Linked DNA regions of Caenorhabditis elegans. The protein of the gene in region 1 interacts with the protein of each later gene in a pairwise test. Each region holds a gene or a part of one and is shown on either strand. Other genes may lie near its edges.

What was found.
Region 2: the proteins of cul-3 (region 1) and cand-1 interact in a two-hybrid assay, tested with the Caenorhabditis elegans proteins (one study listed by BioGRID).
Region 3: the proteins of cul-3 (region 1) and kel-8 interact in a two-hybrid assay, tested with the Caenorhabditis elegans proteins (one study listed by BioGRID).

Annotation. Positions count from the first base shown.
Region 1 is NC_003283.11:175,077-184,789, forward strand, and holds the start of cul-3 (Cullin-3), read left to right. Parts: upstream 1-2,502; 5' UTR 2,503-2,567; coding exon 2,568-2,624; intron 2,625-3,393; coding exon 3,394-4,310; intron 4,311-5,115; coding exon 5,116-5,752; intron 5,753-6,406; coding exon 6,407-6,785; intron 6,786-8,612; coding exon 8,613-8,824; intron 8,825-9,245; coding exon 9,246-9,377; 3' UTR 9,378-9,713. UniProt on the Caenorhabditis elegans protein: Probable core component of multiple cullin-RING-based BCB (BTB-CUL3-BTB) E3 ubiquitin-protein ligase complexes which mediate the ubiquitination and subsequent proteasomal degradation of target proteins.
Region 2 is NC_003283.11:16,799,815-16,806,711, reverse strand, and holds the start of cand-1 (Cullin-associated NEDD8-dissociated protein 1), read right to left. Parts: upstream 3,841-6,897; 5' UTR 3,839-3,840; coding exon 3,701-3,838; intron 3,209-3,700; coding exon 3,098-3,208; intron 2,564-3,097; coding exon 2,309-2,563; intron 1,639-2,308; coding exon 1,125-1,638; intron 308-1,124; coding exon 1-307. Other genes in the region: ctps-1 (CTP synthase), read right to left, coding at 4,900-5,192, 6,556-6,849.
Region 3 is NC_003283.11:2,668,535-2,675,303, forward strand, and holds the start of kel-8 (BTB domain-containing protein), read left to right. Parts: upstream 1-2,929; coding exon 2,930-2,989; intron 2,990-4,451; exon of another isoform or gene 4,452-4,466; coding exon of another isoform or gene 4,467-4,513; intron 4,514-4,561; coding exon of another isoform or gene 4,562-5,042; intron 5,043-5,095; coding exon of another isoform or gene 5,096-5,258; intron 5,259-5,317; coding exon of another isoform or gene 5,318-5,439; exon of another isoform or gene 5,440-5,633; intron 5,634-6,769. Other genes in the region: W02G9.4 (CUB domain-containing protein), read left to right, coding at 1-142, 462-557, 1,293-1,446, 1,533-1,652; thum-1 (THUMP domain-containing protein), read left to right, coding at 4,467-4,513, 4,562-5,042, 5,096-5,258, 5,318-5,439. UniProt on the Caenorhabditis elegans protein: Substrate-specific adapter of a BCR (BTB-CUL3-RBX1) E3 ubiquitin ligase complex that regulates degradation of glutamate receptors in neurons. The BCR(kel-8) ubiquitin ligase complex mediates ubiquitination and subsequent degradation of rpy-1.

The DNA.
Region 1 (9,713 bases):
GGTAGATTCTATCCACTTTCTAAAAATTCTACATGCTCTGAACAAAGTGGAAAATACACTGAAAATTTCAGATCGAAGTTTCAGGTGTTTGAATTTGTGTAATAGTCTGAAAAATCTGAATATAAGCTTTCAAATGAGACATCTCGAAGAAAATGAATTTGTGAAAAAATCCAATTTTTTTCTAATTCGAGCACAAAATGATGTCGGTCTATCACACCTCCTTGTTGTTAGGTGAATAATTGTTAAATTCTTAATCTTTATGATATAACAAAGATAGGCTTCTAACTACGTCACGCCTACATATTCAATGAAATTTTGTAGTGCTACTACTATTTGTGCAAGCCGGAATATGAATGTCCTTTCATTTTTTTTCGTCCCAAAAGTATATAAAATATCTCACGATATACTCAGAGATTGGGCAACAAAGTTCAGGAGAACTTTTGATGCACACCGGAAATAAAAGGGCTTCACTGCTTTTTTTGTTGAATTCATATTGGTTTTGGCGGGAAATATTGAATCATTATTGATACTTTTGAAACAGGAATAGACAGTATTTTTCGTACGGAAATTCGATAATTTCCGAAAATGTTCGGTTGCCTCCCTCGCCCCCTTTGAAATTACAGGAGACTAAAATTCGAAGAATGCGTATTACGAAACGTATACGCGCAAAATATCTCATAGCGAAAACTACAGTAATTTTTTAAATTACTACTGTAGCGCTTGTGTCGATTTATGGGCTCGATTAAAATTGAGCAAAAAATTTAGAAAATACTATGCAGGCGCGGAGGAAAATAAAATATCGATATCACTATTCGGAAACAAATTCATTTCAAAAATCGAGCACGTAAATCGACACAAGCGCTACAGTAGCAATTTTTAAAAAAATTACTGTAGTTTTCGCTACGAGATATTTTGCGCGTCAAATTTGCTGCGCAATACGCATTCTCAGAATTTTGCGTTACCGTAATATACACGGTGAAGAACACGAGCCACCAGGAGTACGGTAGCCCTGACTTTAATTGCAAAAAAAGAGAAAACAGTGAAAAAAATCTGTATATAATTGCTATTATTTTTAAATTTCGCAAAAAAAATTAGAAATGACCACATTAATTTTGAATTCCTGCGCGAATGAATTCTATTTTTTGCGTATTCCTGCAATATTTATTGGATTTTCTCTTAGCCTAAAGCCTAAAACGCAGAAATTTCGAAATAATAAATTGACCATTTTTGAATTATTGGTGCAAAATTGAGAAAAATTGTGAAAAATTATACCATTTTTTGAACAATTACGCTCAGCTTACTAATTGTAAGATTACTCAGATTTATGGCAAAACACGATTTTTACGCCTTCAAAAAATCCTAGCTTTTGGCAAAACTTACAGGAAATTAAAAAATTCAGAATAAAAAGTAATAAGATCCAGGAAGCCATGACTCGAATCATTGTAGTTGAACTGTATGAATGATTTGATCCCAGCTTCTTCCGCCACCCTAAACACCCCATAATTTCCGTTTTCCGCTTGAATAGGAAATGTTGTATATTTCTGTACTCCTTCCTGAAGTATTAAAACTCGTTTTCGTTTATTAAACTGTTTCTTTTTTCAGATCACTCAACTTCCTCTTCTCAACGTCAACTTCGACTCGGCTAATTATAATTTTATTTATTTTTCTGATTTTTTTAAAATTCTTGTTTTTTCTCAAATTTCCAATTTCAACATCATCTTATTTTCAAATAAAAATATTTATTTTGCGACTTTCTATTAATTTGAAACAGCGAATATTGTTAATTTATTAAGTAAATTTAATCATTTTAGATCGTTTTCAACCGATTTTCGAGGGCTTTCCACAAATTTTGTACTTTTAAATAAATTTAAAGTTTATTCTACCGAAAACACTATTTATTTTTCCACGTGGACACCGCCAATTTTCTCTGAAAATTCTAAAATTCTGGTTGAAAATTAATTTTTAAAGCTTCCTCACGAGAAAAGCGCCAACGCACGAGGAGCGCGCCAGCAAACCCGCATTGACGCAGTCTCGGTGCACTTCTGAACTCCAAAACACACTGTTCCCGTTCGATTTTTCTCGCATTTTTCATAGTTTTTTTCGAAATTGAAGCTTTTAAAGGTGTTTTAGACTTGATTCGAAGTGAAATATTGATTGATTGAGCCGGAAAATAGGCAAAAAGTTCTGGAAAAACGCGCGAAATTAAAATTCCAGTGACTTTCGAGATAATGATATTGATTTTTCCGAGTAATTAAGTTGATATCCAGCTATTTATTTTTGCGTGACATTCTAATTACCGGATTTTCAAAGTTTTTTCGAAAAAAAAACAAAGCAAAATCGATTTATTTCGAATTACTCGCGACTTCTCAACTTTGAAGCTGAAAATAGTTAGTTTTGTTTTTTCTGTTATCAGTGCGCGCTTTTTCTGCAATAATAACATTCCGCAGTACGATTTTTTCAAATTTTTTGCTTTTCGAGAACGGAAAATCAAGTTTATTTCAGTGTGCACGAAAAACGAGCGAGATTCTGACTTGACCAGTTCGTTCGGAATCGACTCATTTTTGGAGATGAGCGGACGCTCCGGTAATGGTGGACAACAAAAAATGAGAATTCGCCCATTTATGGTAGGTTTACACACACAGATTTTAGTCCTCTATCAAGCCTGTCTCCTTGTTTTGCGTGAAAAATCGATTTTTTTAAAACGAAACTTGGAATGTTACGGCCGAATTATCCGCGATATCCGAACAATCCGTCAATTTCTGATGAGAAACTGATATTTTTCCACTGGCAACTGTATGCCACGTGGCAATCATTTTCAGTTTGCGTGCCACGTGCCAAAACTCGTCATTTCTAAAGAACAAAAGCAAAATATTTTTTTTTCATATAACAAAATCGATTCTGAGGGATTTCTAATGGTCAATAATTGTTTTTGACCGTTTAACCAGGAAAAAACGAAGAGAAAAACTGTAAAATCGTATTTCCGCCGTTTTTTATCGATTTTCTATTTTTTTTCCTATTTGCTTGGACTAGCCATTAGAAACATGAAATTTGTTATAAACGGCAATGTTCTCGCAAAAATGACCTCACATAAGAGTTTTTCGCGTTTTTTTCACGAAAAAAAAACGCATTTTTGATCGAAATTTACCGAATTTCATCCCAAAAAAGTTCCAAAATTTTTGCCAAATTTTGCTAAAATCTGATATTTCGTAAACTTTTCTAGCTGGAAAATCCCTGAGTTTAGCAAATTTTGGCGCTTTTCCGAAAATTTTGAATTCTTATAATGAAATTTTGGAAATTTTTTAATAGTCGGGCCAGTTTTTGGTCATTTAAGGAAAATGCCCAAAATTTAGAAAAGCCGCAAAAAAAAAACGGAGAAAAATGATTTTTTTTCAGGCCACAATAGACGAGCAATATGTGACACAGACATGGGAACTTTTGAAGCGTGCCATACAGGAAATCCAACGCAAAAACAATTCGGGCTTGAGTTTCGAGGAGCTCTACCGCAACGCATATACAATGGTGCTCCACAAGCACGGAGAACGTCTCTATAATGGCCTGAAAGACGTGATTCAGGATCATATGGCGTCGGTTCGAATTCGAATTATCGAATCAATGAATTCTGGAAGCTTCCTGGAGACTGTCGCCGAATCGTGGGCTGATCACACTGTCGCCATGGTCATGATTCGTGATATTCTGATGTATATGGATCGGATCTACGTGGCACAGAATAATCACGTCCTGCCGGTCTATAATCTGGGTCTCGACGCGTATCGGACGGAAATTCTGCGGCAAAACGGGATTGGCGACCGAATTCGCGATGCTCTTCTGGAGCTTATCAAATTGGATCGAAAATCGAATCAAATCAATTGGCACGGAATAAAAAACGCGTGTGATATGCTCATCTCGCTAGGAATCGATAGCCGGACGGTTTATGAGGACGAATTTGAGAGGCCACTTCTGAAGGAGACTAGTGATTACTATCGGGATGTGTGCAAGAATTGGCTTTCTGGCGACAATGACGCGTGCTTCTATCTGGCACAGGTGGAGATTGCGATGCACGACGAGGCGAGCCGAGCGTCGAGATATCTTGACAAAATGACAGAGGCCAAAATCCTGCAGGTGATGGATGATGTGATGGTTGCTGAGCATATTCAGACGATTGTCTACATGCAGAATGGTGGTGTGAAGTTTATGTTGGAGCACAAGAAGATTGAGGATTTGACTCGCATTTTCCGTATTTTCAAACGTATCGGAGATTCGGTGACAGTACCGGGTGGTGGATTGAAGGCGCTGCTTAAGGCGGTTAGCGAGTGAGTTTTTCGCGCGATTTTTTTTTAGAAATTGAATTATTTGGTGATTACAGCCGTGGGAGGAACGTTGTAAAATTAAAATTTGAACAATTTTCACCACAAAAAGGCACTAGCATGGTTATCTGTCGATTTACGAAGCCTGTGTACTCTTCGAGGGGAAATTTTGTTTTTTTACCCCAGAAATTACGGGTTTTTGCTTTAATGCGGAGATTTCAATGATTTTATTTTGTAAAAAATTGAAAATTTCACCCAAAATGGCTCCATGTGTCGGTTTAACCAGCTTTTGTGCTCCTCGAAAATTTATGTATTTGATGGTTAAATCTAGACTTTACTTTGGCACTTTTTTTGAAGAGGATTTTACAGTGTTTAGCTAAAATGCTTAATCGTTCAAATTATTTCTAATTTTAATGGTAAAACACCACCAATGCAAGCATTTCAGCCAGAAACCGTAAAAAATAATCCACGTGGAGTACACGAGTCGCGTAAATCTACACATGGCCGTGTTAGTAGAGGTTTCGCGGCCACGTTTTCGCTTCAAGAAATTTAAATTCCAGCCAATTTACTGTATTTTTATTTATCAAACTCTACTTTTCTGACCTAAACCCGTGTCACTCGCCCGCAGCAATCTGTTTATTTGTTCTGTTGTCCATTACGTCGAACACCGCCGCTTCTCCTTAAAACGCCTCAGCTGTTGGTGGTTTTAGTTTTTAGATAACACCAACCCTAACAGTTGAACACGGAGCATTCAGAAAACTAGAGCAGAATTGGGGGTTGCTCAGCAAGAAAAGTTAACTTTTTTTTCCAGATATCTCAACGAAACCGGCTCGAACATTGTGAAAAATGAGGATCTGCTCAAAAACCCCGTCAATTTTGTCAACGAATTGCTCCAGCTCAAAGACTACTTCTCCAGTCTGCTCACCACTGCGTTTGCCGACGATCGTGACTTTAAGAATCGCTTCCAGCATGATTTCGAGACGTTCCTCAACTCGAATCGCCAATCGCCGGAATTTGTGGCCCTCTACATGGACGATATGCTGCGAAGCGGTCTGAAATGTGTGTCGGACGCCGAAATGGACAATAAGCTCGACAATGTGATGATCTTGTTCCGCTATCTACAGGAGAAGGATGTATTCGAGAAGTATTTCAAGCAATACCTCGCCAAACGTCTCTTGCTCGACAAATCGTGCTCCGACGATGTGGAGAAGGCTCTGCTGGCAAAGCTGAAGACAGAGTGTGGTTGCCAGTTTACTCAGAAGCTTGAGAATATGTTCAGAGACAAGGAGCTTTGGCTGACACTGGCCACAAGCTTCAGAGACTGGCGAGAGGCTCAGCCGACCAAAATGAGCATTGACATATCGCTTAGAGTTTTGACGGCGGGCGTTTGGCCGACGGTTCAGTGTAATCCGGTTGTGTTGCCGCAAGAGTTGTCGGTTGCCTATGAGGTAATTCGAATTTTCAATTGGTTTTGCAATTTTTGAGCTTGATGTTTCACAAAACCCGCAAAAATGTCTGCTTACACGCAGGGTTGTCGTTTTTTGCCAAAAGATGGATTTTTTATACAGAAAAATGTGCATTTTAGAGACAATATATATTTTTTTCGGTTTTTCCAATCAAAAAACAACAAGTATGTTTTTTTTTCAAAATTTAATTTCCAGTCGCGATGAGATGAATTCAAAAAAAAAACGTTTCTTCTAGTTTTTCTGACCAAATACCTAGAAATCCATTTTTCTGCCAGAAAAGCCAAAAAAGATTCCGAATATCTATTATTTTTGCTTGAAATCGCTTTTCACACGCGCACCAGAGACATTCTCATTGGACCGCCACACTTGTGTCGATTTACGAGATTTCTCATGAAATTTTCAGGCCAATTTCAATTTTTCAATAAGTATGTTTCATTTTTGTGGAAAAACTGAAATCTCCGTAAATCGACACAACACGGTGCGCTCCAATGAGAATATCTCTGGCGCGAGTTTAAAAATATTATTGGGTGCGATTAAACGTGCTTTCAAGCTAAAATATAAAACCAGGGCAATTTTTAAAAAAATATTTTTTCACAAAGATTTTTGGAATTTCTTCAATTTCCCCTCGTTTTTCAGATGTTCACACAATACTACACTGAAAAGCACACTGGCCGTAAGCTGACAATCAACACACTTCTCGGAAACGCTGACGTCAAAGCCACATTCTATCCACCACCAAAAGCATCCATGTCAAACGAGGAAAATGGTCCTGGACCGTCGAGCAGTGGAGAGTCGATGAAAGAACGAAAACCGGAGCACAAGATTCTCCAGGTCAATACGCATCAGATGATCATTCTCCTTCAGTTCAACCATCACAATCGGATCTCATGTCAGCAGCTGATGGATGAGCTTAAGATTCCCGAGCGAGAGTTGAAGAGGAATTTGCAGTCGCTGGCTCTCGGAAAAGCGTCGCAGCGGATTTTGGTCAGAAAGAATAAGGGAAAAGATGCGATAGGTATGAAAAGGAAATTATAGTTTTTCGAATTTTTTTGAAAAAAATTGATAATTTGAAAAAAAAATCAATTTCCAATCGCTGCAGCCAACTTTCCCATGGGACATGGGAAAGTTGGCAAAGTTGGGTTTTTTTTGCTAACTAGGGAATGGTGTTACCCCTGCAATCGCTAGGAGGACAAACAAAGTGAAAATGGAAGATCAGATCTATGGCTACAAGAATCAGTTTTTGGAATCTGCTTAACTCGGTCCCAAAGCTGAAATTTTCGGTCTTAAAAAGTAGTCCTTTTTTTGCTCAAAATGCCGTTTTTCGTGTGTAGAAGTGGCTACATAAAAGTTTGGCACTGCAGCCGCCGTTCGAATGGCCGATTGGTGAACTCTTGTGCTCATTAATCTAAAGGTCACGGGTTCGTTCCCCACTAGGTATTAATTTTTTTTTGAATTTTTCCTCTAGCATGAAATATGCACAAAAACACGGTTTCTTCCGTTTTTTGGTAACTTCGGAATAAATTTTTTGGTTCCTGGGAATCATAAAAGTAATTTGGAAACTTTTTGGAAGTTTTCTTTTTTTGATAAATTTTCACTTTTCTCCCACCTGATGTATGCACATTTTTTTCTTCAAAAATAATTTTTCAAAATTTTTTCAAAAAGTGTTTGGTTTGAAAGAGCAGCATTAGTTTGGATATTTCTACGATTTTGGAGGATCAAATGTCATTTTTAGGAGAAAACCACTGTTGTTTTCTCTAGACTTTTTCACGAAAAGGACCTACTTTCAAAGACTTCCAGCTCCGTTGACGAGTAAAATAAAAAAGAGTTGTCAACTGCAAAGTTATTTCAAAAGTACCAATGAACAAATTGTCAGTTGAAGTTACTCTGCTAAATTTTATGGGTAGAGAGATATAGCTAATCGAAGTGAAGCTTTAACTTACTTAATTACTAATGTCCATATCTCTCTACCCATAAAATTTAGCAGAGTAACTTCAACTGACAATTTGTTTATTGGTACTTTTAAAATAACTTTGCAGTTGACAACTCTTTTTTATTTTACTCGTCAACGGAGCTGGAAGTCTTTGAAAGTAGGTCCTTTTCGTGAAAAAGTCTAGAGAAAACAACAGTGGTTTTCTCCTAAAAATGACATTTGATCCTCCAAAATCGTAGAAATATCCAAACTAATGCTGCTCTTTCAAACCAAACACTTTTTGAAAAAATTTTGAAAAATTATTTTTGAAGAAAAAAATGTGCATACATCAGGTGGGAGAAAAGTGAAAATTTATCAAAAAAAGAAAACTTCCAAAAAGTTTCCAAATTACTTTTATGATTCCCAGGAACCAAAAAATTTATTCCGAAGTTACCAAAAAACGGAAGAAACCGTGTTTTTGTGCATATTTCATGCTAGAGGAAAAATTCAAAAAAAAATTAATACCTAGTGGGGAACGAACCCGTGACCTTTAGATTAATGAGCACAAGAGTTCACCAATCGGCCATTCGAACGGCGGCTGCAGTGCCAAACTTTTATGTAGCCACTTCTACACACGAAAAACGGCATTTTGAGCAAAAAAAGGACTACTTTTTAAGACCGAAAATTTCAGCTTTGGGACCGAGTTAAGCAGATTCCAAAAACTGATTCTTGTAGCCATAGATCTGATCTTCCATTTTCACTTTGTTTTGTCCTCCTAGCGATTGCAGGGGTAACACCATTCCCTAGTAAAATTTGCCTTTTTCACGTTTTTGAACTGTTTCATACGGAAATTTATGTTTTTTGGAATATTTTACGTTAACTATTAAAAAAGCACCCAGAAAAATCGATAATTTCAATTTATAATTTTTCCAGACATGAGTGACGAGTTCGCCGTCAACGACAACTTCCAATCGAAGCTGACACGTGTCAAAGTGCAAATGGTGACAGGAAAAGTGGAATCGGAGCCCGAGATTCGTGAAACTCGCCAGAAAGTTGAGGATGATCGAAAGTTGGAAGTGGAGGCGGCGATTGTTCGTATTATGAAGGCCCGAAAGAAGTTGAATCACAATAATCTGGTGGCAGAGGTGAGCATTTTTCCATTATATTTTTTATTTTAAATATTCAAATATTTTTTAAAGCTAAAATCGAAGTACGAAACAAAAAATACGATATAGAATGAGAAAAAAGTGTGAATGTTGCCAAAAAATGAATATTCACGCATAGTACACGTACTCGTAAATCTACACAACTCTTAAAGGAACATTGATTTATATATCGTGTTTAGATTGTCGAGGATGTCGGAAAAAAAATGTTTTTTTTTAATCAAAAATATAAAAATGGGCTCAATTTCGAGCTATTTTTCGAAAAACCTAAGTTTTTTTTTCGAATTTTTGACTTCCCGTTTTTCAAAAAAAAATTCGGTTGCACAACAACAACAACGCCAATTAAAAACCCAAATTCGCTGCAGATTTTTGCAATTTTCAAAAATTTAAAACAATTTTCCAGGTGACCCAACAACTGCGCCACCGCTTCATGCCGTCACCAATCATCATCAAGCAACGCATCGAAACACTGATCGAGCGAGAATATTTGGCTCGCGATGAGCACGATCATCGTGCCTATCAATACATTGCCTAGGGTCGATTTTTTCGTTTGGTTTCCAATGATTTTCACTCTCATCTGCTCTCCATTTACTTTTGCTATATTCTCTTAAAACACAGCAACAACGATTTGTTCATAAATACGTAATTTCTGTGGTTATTTTTACATTTAAATTTATTTATTTATTCCTTCTCTCTTTTTTTCTCACTCGATTCTTGGACCTGATGTTGCCTTGAACATTTGTATGTAGATGGGTCTTTTTTTTTCATTATTTCCCCCAAATCATTTCAAAATTATTTTATTATTTTCATTATATCATCTCGTCAAATTTGCTCCCTATCCAGATAGTATCCACCCCTGAAAGTTTTTGTC
Region 2 (6,897 bases), about 17 Mb from region 1:
TTGGTTCCACCAATCACCACAATATCATCAGTTTCAATGGAATCCTCGTCGGCGGCCACAACGGCCTTCTGCAAATCTGGGACCAAAATGGAGATCTGATTGAGTAGGGCAATGTAGACTGAGATGATTTCAGTTCGGACAGTCTCTTCGCGTTCTTTGAATCGTCCAATCACTACTGGACCGATTTTTTGCGAGAGATTGAGAAGGGATTCCCGGTGTGATGAGATCATTGCTTCGATGGCTTTTGCGGCGGCGCGGCGAACTTTCCATGTGACGTCTTCGTCGTCGCTGTATTCATCTTCGTCGTCTGCAAAAAATTTGAATATTTAAAGGTGGACTACGCTCAGCGAGGAAATTGCTTTAAAACACGCCTATGGTACCACAATGACCAAATACCATGATTAAAAAATTCAAAAAAATTTTCCAAATTTTATATGATTTTTTGAAAATTGGAAAAATCGCAGTTTTCCCCTAATTCCTTTTTGAATTTCCGCCAATTGGATTTGTTCGATGGAGCGCGCTTGCACGTTTTTAAATTTATTTATTTTATTTATTGTTATTTTCCACCAACTTTTAAAGTTTTCGGTGTATTTTTGCTTGAATTTAGAGAAAAAGTCAAAATAATTGCAAATTTTCGATTAAAAAGCACGCTACCAGGAAATTAGTTAATTCAGGTTTTAAATCGTTTAAAAGCGTTACTTTTTCATTTTTACGCCTGTACGTTTGCTTTTTAATCGAAAATTTGCATTTATTTTGACTTTTTCTCTAAAATTCGAGCAAAAATACACCGAAAACTTTAAAAGTTGGTGGAAAATAACAATAAATAAATAAATAAATTTAAAAACGTGCAAGCGCGCTCCCTCGAACAAATTCAATTGGCGGAAATTCAAATAGGAATTAGGCAAAAACTGATATTTTTTTCAATTTTCAAAAAATCATATAAAATCTAGAAAAATGTTTTTGAATTTTTTTATCATGATATTCGGTCATTGTGGTACCATAGGCGTGTTTTAAAGCAATATCCCCACTGAGCGTAGTCCACCTTTAAGGCTAAAAAAAGCTCCAAAATCAAGAATTTCAGCTAAAAAATCTTTAAAATCTTCAATTTTCGCACAGTTTCCTACCATCTTCATCATCTTCCATTTGCTCATCCTCATCATCATCTCCATACTCGTAATTCGGATCATAGGCCAGTGCATCAGTGAGCTGTTGGATAACTTCCTTCTCAAAAGCTACAACTTCCTGTGGATTCCGGTACAAAAATACTTCCAATCCTTGAATAGAAGCTTCCCGTAGATCATCGTGCTCCGATTCGGTTCCAGGATCAATTTGAAGATATTGAAGAAGGAACGGAACAACTTTCGGCGTATGCTTCGAGAATCTCGATCCACTGGCTCGTGCGACAGTGCTCAACGCGATCACAAGTGTACGAAGTTGCACATTTTGAGCAGCCGACGATGGAGGGGATCGTTGAGCCAGCTCTTTGAGCAAATCTTGAACGAGCTCATCGTAAAGCTCTCCGTTGATTACAGAGGCAAGATGTCCGATTCCAGTGATTGCCTTCTTTCTGATAGCGGAACGGAATGAATACAAGTGATCTACCATCACTTTCAACGATCCTTTGTGCATTTCGGGAACCTGGAACTAGAAATGTGTGAGATTTTGCTTCAAAAAGTGCCAAAATAGTCTTAAATTCGGGAAAAACGTGAAATTTCGGCTGAATTCCATCTGATTGGTTGAAAAGTGGGCGGGGCGAATCGCTGATTGGTCGCAATTCCCATTTTGGAGGAAATTAGCCAAAATTGAAAAATCGCGTTGGATTTTTCGTTTTTTTTTCGAAATTTGGCATTATTTCAGAGTTTTTAAAGCAAAAAATGGAAAATTTTTGAAAGTTTGGTTTAAAAAACCCAAAACTGACAATTTTTCAATTTTAGGGTTACTGTAGCTCCACAAATTCGCAAACACTGACAACACACCGGATTTGACGGCAAAATGCAGAATAATCAATATTTTCCGCAATATGTCGTGTTTGCGTGCTTTTAAGGGTACAGTAATCCCGGTAACGAGCAAAATGGCTGTTTTCTAGAGTACTGTAGCCTCAAAAGTGAGCAAACACCGCCAAGACACCGGACTTGACGACAAAATGTAGAAAAAAACGGAATTTCTGCAAAATGACGGTTTTTGGCTAGATTTGGGGTATTTTTTTTGAAATTTTGAAGATATTTGAGCTCAAAAAAGGCTCATTTGGGCTATTTTAAGGCTTGAAAAGCCCAAAAAATAGGATTTCCGGGTGTAAATCCACACTTACAACATCACCAAATCTCAGCAAAACTTCTCCAATCAAATCGAGAACATCGACACGAGCCGCATCATCTGGAGCACACAACGACAGAGAATCCACAAATTTTGGCAACATTCTCTTGACAACTGTAGTTGTTGCATTACTTGAAGCCGATGGAGCCAAATTTAGAATCATTGCTTTAAGTGTGAGAGAATGAATATCTCTTGATTGTTCAGCTTTCGAAAAAACGTGTGGAGTGAGCTCTTCGACGAGATATTCCAGCTGAAATTTGGGATTTTTTCAAATTTTTAATGATAATTTTTTTAAACAAAAATTTTTAATGTTAAATATTTAATTTCCCGTTGAAATGTTGAAAAATCTACTGAAATTTTGAACTTTCTGTGGAAATTCGACTGAAAATTCCAATTTTTTAAACTTTTTATTGTAGAAATATTGAATTTCACGCTGAAAATTTATTTTAAATTCGAATTTTCCGACAAAAATTGATTTAAAATTTGACCATCCATCCAAAAAATGACTTTTTTGTCAAACTTTGACTGGAAATTCGTGTTTTCCTCCAAAAATTGAATGAAAATGTGACTTTTCTGAAATTTTATATAAAAATCGACTGAAAATTCGAATTTCCAGCCAAAATTCCATTTTTTGTACGAAATTTTCAAACTTTCCAGTCATTTCTTAATTTTTTGAAGGAATTTTCGTATTTTTCTCATTGAAATCTCCAGTTTTGTCGTATTTTTTCCAATTTTTTCCGTTAAAAACACCGAAATTAAAATTTTGAATTTTCCGATTACTGACATGATGCGTTTTGATTTTCGATGGCTGAGCAAGGAGTCCAATACATTTGATCGCAAGATTTTGAACTTCTCCGTTTGAGTCACTGAGCAGTTTGATTAGAGCACGAATGACCTGAAAAAAATTAGAAAATTCAGATTTTAGCTAAATTTTGAATTTTTTTTTGGAATTTTTGTTTAAATTCCGGCGGTTTTTAGTTAATTTTAGCCATTTTTTGAATTTTCAACATTTTTTGGCAGAAATTTCCGGTTTTTGCCAAAATAAACAGTTTTTTTTTGTAATTTTAAATAATTTTTTTTTCGTTAAAAATTTAAATTACAGCAGAATTTAGCAGTTTTTCGGATTTTTAAATAATTTTTTTTGTAGAAAATTACGGTTTTTGCCGGTTTCGAATTTTTTTTGTAGAAATTTCAATTTTCAGCTAAAATTTTTTTTGAAATTTCAAACAGATTTTTCTGTTGAAAGTACAGATTTTAGCTATTTTTCACCTTTTTTTTCAAAATTACAATAAAATTTCACTGGAAAATTCAATTTTTAGGGTTATTTTTTAGCTTTTTAAAGCAATTTTTGCACCAAAAACCGCCAATTTTTGAGATTTTACTATACTTTAGCAGTCGAATCGTCCTCCAAAGCGATAGTTCCAGTCTGCAAATCTTTCATCAAATCATTGCAAGCCATGAACCGGAAATCCTTATCCGGATTCGACATTTTGTCGACCAGTTGCCCGACATGATAAGCACTCATCTGGAAACAAAATTTGGTCTGAAAATCACTTTTCGGGGTCTGAAAACGTGAAAAAGATAACCAAAAGAGGCAAGAAAATAGACAATTTTGGGCGCCAAAATAAGTGATCAAAAACTCTAAAAACGAAGTTCATCGGGTGTTGGTAGAGAACAAAATCTATGAAACTGGGTCAACAATTGAATAAATCCGGGAAAAAATGAAGGTGACTATGGGAGAAATTAATGAAAAAAAAACAGAAACAAGGATAACAAAAGGACAAAAACGACGAGAAAAATGCGAAAAAAAAGAAGAAAATTATCTTTGGAATATCAGAAAATAAGAATAAAAACAACAAAAACTGGAGGGATTTTTGTCTGAAAATGGTCTGAAATTGACGAAAAAGGGTCGATTTTTTCGAAAATTTGACTCAAAATTTGCAAAAATCTGAATTTTTCGTTTTTCTGGCGGATTTTGGCAATTTTTTGAGTCAAAAAATAATTTTTTGGACTGAAATTGGTATTTTTAGGCCAGTTTTTGGGAAAAAAAGCTTGAAATATCGCAATTTCAGATCAAAAAATAGTTTTTTGGTGGAAAAAGCCATTTTTTACATATTTCGCTCAAATTTTGGATTTTTAAAAACATTTTTGCCTCAAAAAAAAAAACCACTTTTCGGGGTAAAAGTGTTCCTTTTTAGGCATATTTTTGGGAAATCGGCTGAAAAAATGAGTTTTCTGGCGCAAAAATGTAAATTTTAAGATAAGCAGCTCAAAAAACGGCAAAAATTGAAAAAAAAATCGAAAAATACCAAGTTTTGAGCGTTTTCCCGTTTTTCGCACAAAAAATAGCTTTTCGGAGAGCAAAAATCCAAAAATTCAGCAATGTCAGCTTGAAAAATGGATTTTTGGCTCAAAAACTGCAAAAAATCCAAAAATTCAGCGATTTCAGCTCGAAAAATGGATTTTTGGCTCAAAAAAAGGCAAAAAATCGGTCAATTTCTGCAAATTTTAAGACGATTTTCTGACAAAATCATCTACTCAACTACAAAAAAAGTGAAAAAAAACGACGAAAAATTGAGGAAACAATTAATGGAAAGAAGCCAATCTCTGAGTTCCTGGCACAGCATTTCCCTCGAGTTTCAGTTTCCCCAACATTGCTCCAACAACATCTTCACGCTTCTCCTCCGAGTCATTCTCTTTTGTATGATGAAGATGCTCCTCTTCATTTACAACTTGAAGAGCCGGACTTCTTGACCCAGAGAAATATGAATTAAGTTGACGAGTTGCGGCAAGCAGAAGACCGAAGAATGGTGGAGATGGAGTGAGTGGATGGGAAAGGTATTCGGGATGGAATTGGGCTCCGACAAAGTATGGGTGGTCTGGAATTGGAGATAAGCTTCAAGGGGTGCCGGTTTTTTTTAATTTCGACTTTTTGAAAAATCTTCTCAAAAATGAATAAAATAATGTTTATCAGCATAAACAAAATTTGATTTTTTTTTAAAGTTTGTTCATCGATTTTCACCAGAAAAATTTAGATTTTTAGGAAAATAACTTCCAAAAATGGAATTTTTGTTAGGTTTTTCGGACCAAAAAACTTCTTTTTTTTTCTTCAAAAATGTTATATTTTAGTTGGTATGACGATAAAAAACCAACAGTTTCTTTTTTTTAGCCGAATTTTTTTTTGACAGTCTTGTTAAAATTTTTCTGAAATTTCAAAAAAAAAATTGTAGATTTGTCCGGAAAATGGCTTAAAATTTGGGCTATTTTTCCCACATTTTTGAAGAAAAATATCGATTTCCTTATAGTTTTTACTCGTCAACTTGAATAAAAATTATCAAAAAAATGAAATTTTTTTTTTTTTTTTTTTGATTTTTCGAAAACAAAGTCGATTTCTCGGAAAATAGCTGAAAATTTGGGGTGTTTTCCCACATTTTATAAGAAAATAATATGCCTTTTTATGTTTTTCTCCACAAAAAAAATTTGATTAAAAAATCGAAATTTCTCGATTTTCTCCAATTACACCCTTGGTAAGAATTTTTAAAAAAGTAGAAAAATACGACTAAGAGAAAACGGCCTAAATTAAGAGTGACAGGGCCAAACCAGCAGATTTTGAGAAAAAAATTAACTGTTAGCAAAGAAAATTGCGTAACCACTTGCAGAGAGAGAGTCATCAATTTCAAAATCAAATGGTTCGCAATGGAGCGCGTTCGCTCTCTCTGAAAATTGCCAGGACGCAATTTCCAGAGGTAATTATCGATTTGGAGCAACTAAAGCGAGAAGAATATCGATTGATCTCATGAAATAGCTTGTGTAAACTCGAAATATGCTAAAATAAACACATTTTGAATTGAGATATTTTAAAAATGTTTCAAAACTTTTTTATTACGGTTCAAACTTTCGAACTAATTAAAATTGATTTTTAATTGAATCTTGTCTTATTTCTGTCATTAATAGCACGTTTTTTCGTTGATTTAGGTATATTTAAGGTCTATAGGTAGGCAAAATGCACCTGGAATAACGAAAAATGTGAACTAATAAGCAATTAAAAATCAATTTTTCGGCCGCTTAATTAGCTACAAGCTGGGCATTTTTTCATAATTTTTAACCGCCATAAAACATTTTTGAAACATTTTTAATGGCAAAATCTAAGATTTTAGCCTTTTTTTTCTTAAAATTTGAAGGTTTCTGTATGAGAATCTGTCTGCCAGGGCTTAAAAATTGAATTTTCGTCCTTATATTTACCCTTCATCTCGAACATTTCCATACGAACAGCTGGCCGAGTAACCCCATCGCCTCCTCTCTGACACAAATCATCAATTTTGTGCAACAAATCAATTTCAGTCTGATCAGCCATCTGCATAAGCTCCGCCGAGCTGTCGGTTCGCTTCTTAACATCCCAAATATCAGTATTCTGTTCATCTACACCCATTCCGACGAACAAGAATCCCTTCCGAGCCATTTGTGGAACAACGTGGGGATTCACTTCGTAACGGTGACGGTGACGTTCTTCCACTGTGTGAGTTCCGTAGAGACGGTCTGGAATGAGAAATTTTTTTTTTAATTCTGATTTTAGGCGGGTTTTTT
Region 3 (6,769 bases), 2.5 Mb from region 1:
GATCCGTGTACATGCCAACCAACTTGTGCTCGAGCATCCTGCACAACAGTGAATTCGATATTATCACCTCGCCAAATTTCCCGTACAACTACCCGGATAACATATCATGCGCGTTCCTGATCAAAGTCTCTGCTGATCGTTTGTAAGTTTTTACCTGAGTAGATCAAATTAGCATGACGTTTTTGATCTGTAGATGACGTCAAAAAAGCAAGTCATCATTTTGATAAGGTTGTATTTATGACACATAGGGTCAAAATTTGTCTACGCAGCTTTTTCGTTTAAAAAAGTCATAAAAGTCTAGGTAGTTTTCAACAACAAGAACAATTATTTATGCTCAAATTTCAAAATGGTCACGGTTACGAAAAGTGTGCTCCCCGTGCACTACTCGAAATTTCAAATAAGATGATGAAATATGACCACATAATCCTTGATAGTGAGTTCATAAAAAGTGACATTTTCAGGATCTCCTTCCAATTTGTCGCCTTCAACACAGAGGACGGATACGATGTAGTGTCCGTGTACGATGGAGCGAACACTTCCGCACCGCTTATTGGACAGTAAGTTAGACAGGGGGTAGGGGTAGGTAGGCGAGAGGTCGACCTAAAGCGGACTAAGGTAGGCAGGCGATCTGAAACCTAGTCTCAATAAAAAGCCGTAATTGGATCTAACTAAAGCAGAAAAACAGAAAACTCCATAGTTTTTATGACTACCTACCAATATTGCTATATTTCATATCAAATATCATACTCTAGAGTAATCCTACAGTACTCCTACAGTACCCCGACCATATCCCCCACTGACCCTAAACCAATATCCCTTCAAAAGACAAAATTCAATTTTTCCTAAACTACAGTAATCCTACAGTACTCCTGCAGTACCTCTACCGTACTACTACAGTACTACTACAGTACCCCTACAGTACTACTACAGTACCCCGACCATATCTCCCACTGACCCTAAACCAACATACCTTCAAAAGACAAAAACTGAACTTTGCCTAAACTACAGTAATTCTACAGTAATCCTACAGTACCTCTACAGTACCCCGACCTTATCCCCCACTGACCCTGAACCAATACCCCTTCAAAAGACAAAAACTCAATTTTGCCTAAACTACAGAAATTCTACAGTACCCGACCATATCCCCCACTGACCCTAAACCAATATCCCTTCAAAAGACAAAAACTCAAGTGTTCCTAAACTACAGTAATCCTACAATACTCCTACAGTACCCCGACCATATCCCCCACTGATCTTAATCCAAGGATACTATAAAATAACCATTTTTTCAGTTATTCCGGAAAGAATATGCCAGCTCCAATAACATCGACGAGCAACACTTTGTACCTGTGCTTCTCCTCAGACTTGGTCACCAATTTCTCGGGATTCTCCGGTCTGTATACCTCATTTGTCTCGAACAACTTCAAGCGCGGAGTACTACCACAGGTGAGAAAAGATCTAGGCCGGCTTGGAAGCAGGCAGGCATTTTTGTGCCTAGGTACCTAGGGCTTCACTAAAAACTAATCTTTCAGTCCCTGACAACGGATTCAGTGGCGATTCGTCGTGACAAGAACATTCTCGACTGGCTCAAAAAGAAGGCCGAGGAGAAGAAGCTTATTGGAGCTGCTGCAGCACCGGTTATCTCTATCTAGTAGTCCCCCGAAATTCTCAATATGTAATGAATTATTATTTCTTCGCAATTATTTTTTGCCGCTTACTGTATGAAAGTGAAAGGAAAATTAGAAAATTAGTGATGGGGGGGGGGGGGGGGTGATAAGAGAAATCTGGGTTGAAGGGGGAGGGGTAGGGCGATAAAAAGGGAAATTTTAGGAGGAAGAGAAGCTGGTTTTTAAAAAATAAAATTTTTGTTCTATGCCCGGACGCGGGAAAAATTTCACATTGATCTACAGTAGATCATCATCACGGGCTTCTAGTAGCGGTTTTTCGCGCTCCATTGAAAATCGGTGAGCGGAAATTGCAGTTCGGCAAAGGAAGGTTTCAAATTCGGCAATTTGCCATTTTGCCGATTTGCCGGAAATTTTGAATTCCGGCAAATTTCACGATTAGCCGGAAATTTTCAACTCCGGCAATTTGCCAGTTTGCCGATTTGCCGGAAATTTTCAATTCCGGCAACTCCCCGATTTGCCGGAAATTGTCAATTCCGGCGAGTTCCCGATTTGCCGGAAATTTTCTATTCCGCCAGTTTGCCGATGTGCAGGAAATTTTCAATTATGGCAATTTGCCGATTTGCCGGAAATTTTAAATTCCGGCAAATTTGCCAGTTTGTCCTAAATTGTCAATTCCGGCGATTTCTTGATTTGCCGGACATTTTCATTTCCGGTAATGTGCCAATTTGCCGAAAATTTTAAATTCCGGCATTTTGCCGATTTGCCGAAAATTTTCAATTCCGGCAAAAATCGACCCCAGCCGTGGCCGAGTCAAAATGGCCTGAATATAATCAAATGTGCTCCAACGCACCAGCCGACTGTGACGGACATTATTCAGGGCTTGACCTACAGAAATCGTTTGACCTACTGGCGCCTCATTATAAACTCATATGACGTCACAAATTTCAATAATTTCCCGCGCTTTCTGGAGGTCAAAGTGCCCATCCTCAACAAAACATCCCGTTCAGGGTCCTATCCCCAAGTCTCCAGACCCTAAAGCCTACAATCATAAAGCTTGTCACTAAATAATTGCCATGTTTTTGTCTGCCAATCAACTGACTGTCCCCCTCCTGCTGTGGTATATTCAGAAGATACCAGAAGCTGTAACAAAAGACGCAGGACGTACAAGACAGGTTGAGAGAGACACTGTGGGGGCGCAGACACACACAAAAAAATCAGGGGGCGGGAAGTGAATCGAGAGAGGAAGAAGCTGGCATCTAGAATACCAGACTGACAGGCGACACACACCACGAAAAAAAAACATGTGGACCTTCAACAGATCTACCGCGGAGGCGCCAACTATGCCGTCAAGCTCTAATACGGTAGGTGGTAACTATTTTACTTTTTCTGGAATTTCATTTTGTAAGCTACCACGGATTTCTGGCTTCCCTCTCATAAATTGAAATGGAAGAGTTTGCCAAACTAGGCCATTTTGGCTCGGCCATAAGTGGGGTAGATTTACGGCGCGTTGCGTGTCGCGTCGCGGCTCGATTTTAGTTGTAAAACTAAGTCTATTTGTCCGTGTGGAGTACACGATTTTAACACGCGTTGTCCGCCGGGCGATTGTCAATGGAGCGCGAAAAATTCTCTGAGGAAAGACAGAACCCCGTGATTTTGGCCTAAAAATCATTAAAACAGGAAAATTGCCGAAATAACGGGGTTCTACCCTTCCTCATTGAATTTTTTGCGCTCCATTGATAATCGTCCGAAGGAAAACGCGTGGGTAAATCGTGTACTCCACACGGACAAATGCATTTAGTTTTACAACTAAAATCGAGCCGCGGCGCGACACTCAACTCGCCGTAAATCTACCCCAGTAATGGCCGAGCCAAAATGGCCTAGTTTGGCAAACTCTTCCATTTCAATTTATGAGGGTAATCAGAAATTCGTCATTTTGGCCTAAAAACACCAATTTGGCCTAAAAACATTAAAACCACGGGAAATTTGAAACAGGAAAAAAATGGCAAAAAATTCTTGGAAACCGGCGAAATCGGCATAACTAATCCAAAACGTTCGAATGTACTATTTTGCCGCCAAACACCTAGCGGGTCATGGTGCGGGGGCCGAGAATTTCCTATTGGCAGTGGAGCGCGTTTCCACGTGGATTTTTCTGCGTACCCATAATAGCCGCGTCACACAGTTAGTCACCCAATTTACTACCTAATTGCATGGCCTTTGTGTCGGAACTCGTTTTTTTCGTAATGTCGCAACACATGGTACATAGATAAAAATCTCGAGATAACCTATAGTTCAGTTCAAATGTGAAGCAAATTTACTGGTGAATCGGGAAAAAACTGGTAAATTGTTCGGGATATATACTTATTATACATCAAAAATTGCTCGAAAAATTGTGAATTTCAGCTTTTTTTTCAGGAAATATATATTTTCTAGAAGAAGAATACCGGAAAAAGGTGCGGGTCATTTTGCACGCCATCACGAAATTTTCGCAAATTCCAGCGTTTCCGTCAAAATAGTAAATGTATATTCAAAATTTTTTCATCTAATTATCAAGTGAGGCTGCTCTTTTCAAGTTTCGCTGTAAAGAACCGCCTCTTTTTCGTAGTTTGTTTCACATAAAGTGGTGGTGACTCTGCAATTAAAGGTGTGCAAACGCGCTCTGTGGTTACGTGCAAGAGAGAAGAGATTTAGAGAAGTTGGAGGGAATATTAATTGTTTTTTTTTGTTTTTAATTGTTTTTATGTGTTTTTTTCGCATTTTTCGTTGATTTTTCGTTAAAAAACTTCAAAAACAATAATTTTCATTCAAAAATTTCAATTTTTCCAGAAAAAATCACTGAAAATGGCAGATAACGACAGAAAACGAAAGCATAACCGATGGAATCAAAAGTGAGAGCTAAAATTTGAGAAAAAAAAACTATTCTAAGACAATTTCAGAGTTAAACAAAAATCTGTGGAAGCCGGAGTGACCGGACTATTCTTTTCCTGCGAAGGCCACGAAAAGCAGGCCCTACAAGAAGCCTACAGTATTATTGACGAGCTTCTCGAAGACCCGGCGAATGGAATCTCTCTTAAAGCACCAGAAGCTGCTCCACAAGGCTCAGAAGCACCCGGAAATCCAGCAGAAGCTGAAGATTCCGATGAAGACATTGCCGATGCGTTGAAAAAGGCTTGTGATGATCAGAGGCAGCCGAAGCCGGGAAATTTCGTGAAAAAAGAGAGAAGATGCATTCAAAGACCGACGGGAGTGAAGAATTGCATTTTTGTGAGCGTGAAAAACGCGAATATTCAACTTTTAGCCGAAAAAATGGTCGAGCTGACGCAAAAAGCTCCGCGTTGCAGGTTTTTGCAACGAGTTTACCCGGTGGAGCATACTTTAGCTGTGGATCTTTCAAAAATGAATGAAGTTTTGATGAAGGTGCTTTTATTTAATTAAATTAATTAATAAAATAAAAAAAAGTAATTTTTCAGGTAATCTCCGACACATTGAAGGCAGACGGCACTGGCAAACTTCCCACGTATTCCGTGGAATTTAAAGCGAGAAATAACGATTCTGTGGCGAAGAATTCCGTGCTCCAAATGGTCGATGACGCCGTTTGTGCGCTGGCTCCGACTGCGAGAGTTAGCCTAAATCGTTAGTGTCTCTAAAAATCTGAAAAAATTTCAAAAAAATCAAAAAATCAATGATTCCAGACGCCGACGTCACATTCTTCGTTCAAGTATCTCGTACGACAATTATGGTTGGCGTGTGCCGGCAATTTTACGACCGCCGAAAGTATAGTCTTCGTGCGACGCCGGCAGCGGCAGCGACATAAGTCTCTTCTTCGACCTTTTTCCCCCTTTCACCCAGCGCCTCATTGGCTCAGTGGCAGAGCGTCTGTCTAGTAAACAGAAGGTCGCTGGTTCGATTCCAGCATGAGGCACCGAATTTTTTTTGTTTTTTTCATTTGTTCTGTTAAAATACTTTGGCTATTTATTTGTTAAAATACATGAAATTTGAGATTCGATTGTTAATTATTTTTTAAATGCATGGTATCTATAACTGTGACGTGTCAAAAACTCAGGTCGACCCTTGCTCGCGCGCGTCTCATGCACAACCGAGCAAGAAAAAAAACGTGCAACCAACCCGAAAATCTAGCTCACCCGTTCTGCGCACTCCCCAAAATCAACACTATTTCGCTCTCTCGCAGCTCTTCCAAATTGTCAAACAAACCGAGTAGTTACACGCACCCCCCGCCGAAACTCGGGAGCATTCAATCTGGCCTGGTTTTCCAGTATGCTGAAATTTTTTGGACTATTGTAAATTGTTTGTGAAAAAGGTCTCGCCACGAACGAAATATTTTTACAATAATCATTTGTGTGAAATGCTGTGCGTCTTTTTACCCGTTTATTGCAATTTTCACATGGTGTCAGGTTGTCCCATAACGGTTTGATCTACAAAAAATGCGGGATTTTTTCCACCAAAAAATGTGACGCCATCTGCACGTTCTTAACCATGCAAAATCAATTGAGAAGTCTGCGTCCAAATTCCCGCATTTTTGTAGATCAAACCGTTATGGGGCATTCTGACACCACGTGATTTTTCTGAAATTCTCTTAATTTTACGCCAAAAATACGGTACCCTGGTCTCGACACGACAAATTTCTGTCAAATGCGAATAGGTGTGCGCTTTTAAGGAGTACTGTAGTTTGGAACTTTCGTTGCTGCCGGATTTTCGTCGATTTTTATAGCTTTTCGATAAAAATTCAACTACAAAAAACCTATAAAAAACGATTACAACCCCGCCGCCGCATTGAAATTTTAAAACTACAGAACTCTTTCGCATTCAACAAAAATTTGTCGTGCCGAGACCAGGGCACAGTATTCTTGGCGCAAAAATTACAAAATGTCGGTTTTGGGTAATATTCTGCAGACTGAAATTTTGGCGCATGCATAACATAGTTGACGCGCAAAATATATCTCGTAGCGAAAACTACAGTAACCCCTTAAATGACTACTGTAGCGCTGGTGTGTCGATTTACGGGCTCCATTTCCGAGTCTATAGAATATTAAAATCCAGTAGATTTTTTTCGAAAAGAAAATCATTTTAAAAAATCGAGCCCGTAAATCGACACAAGCGCTACAGTAGTCATTTAAAGAGTTACT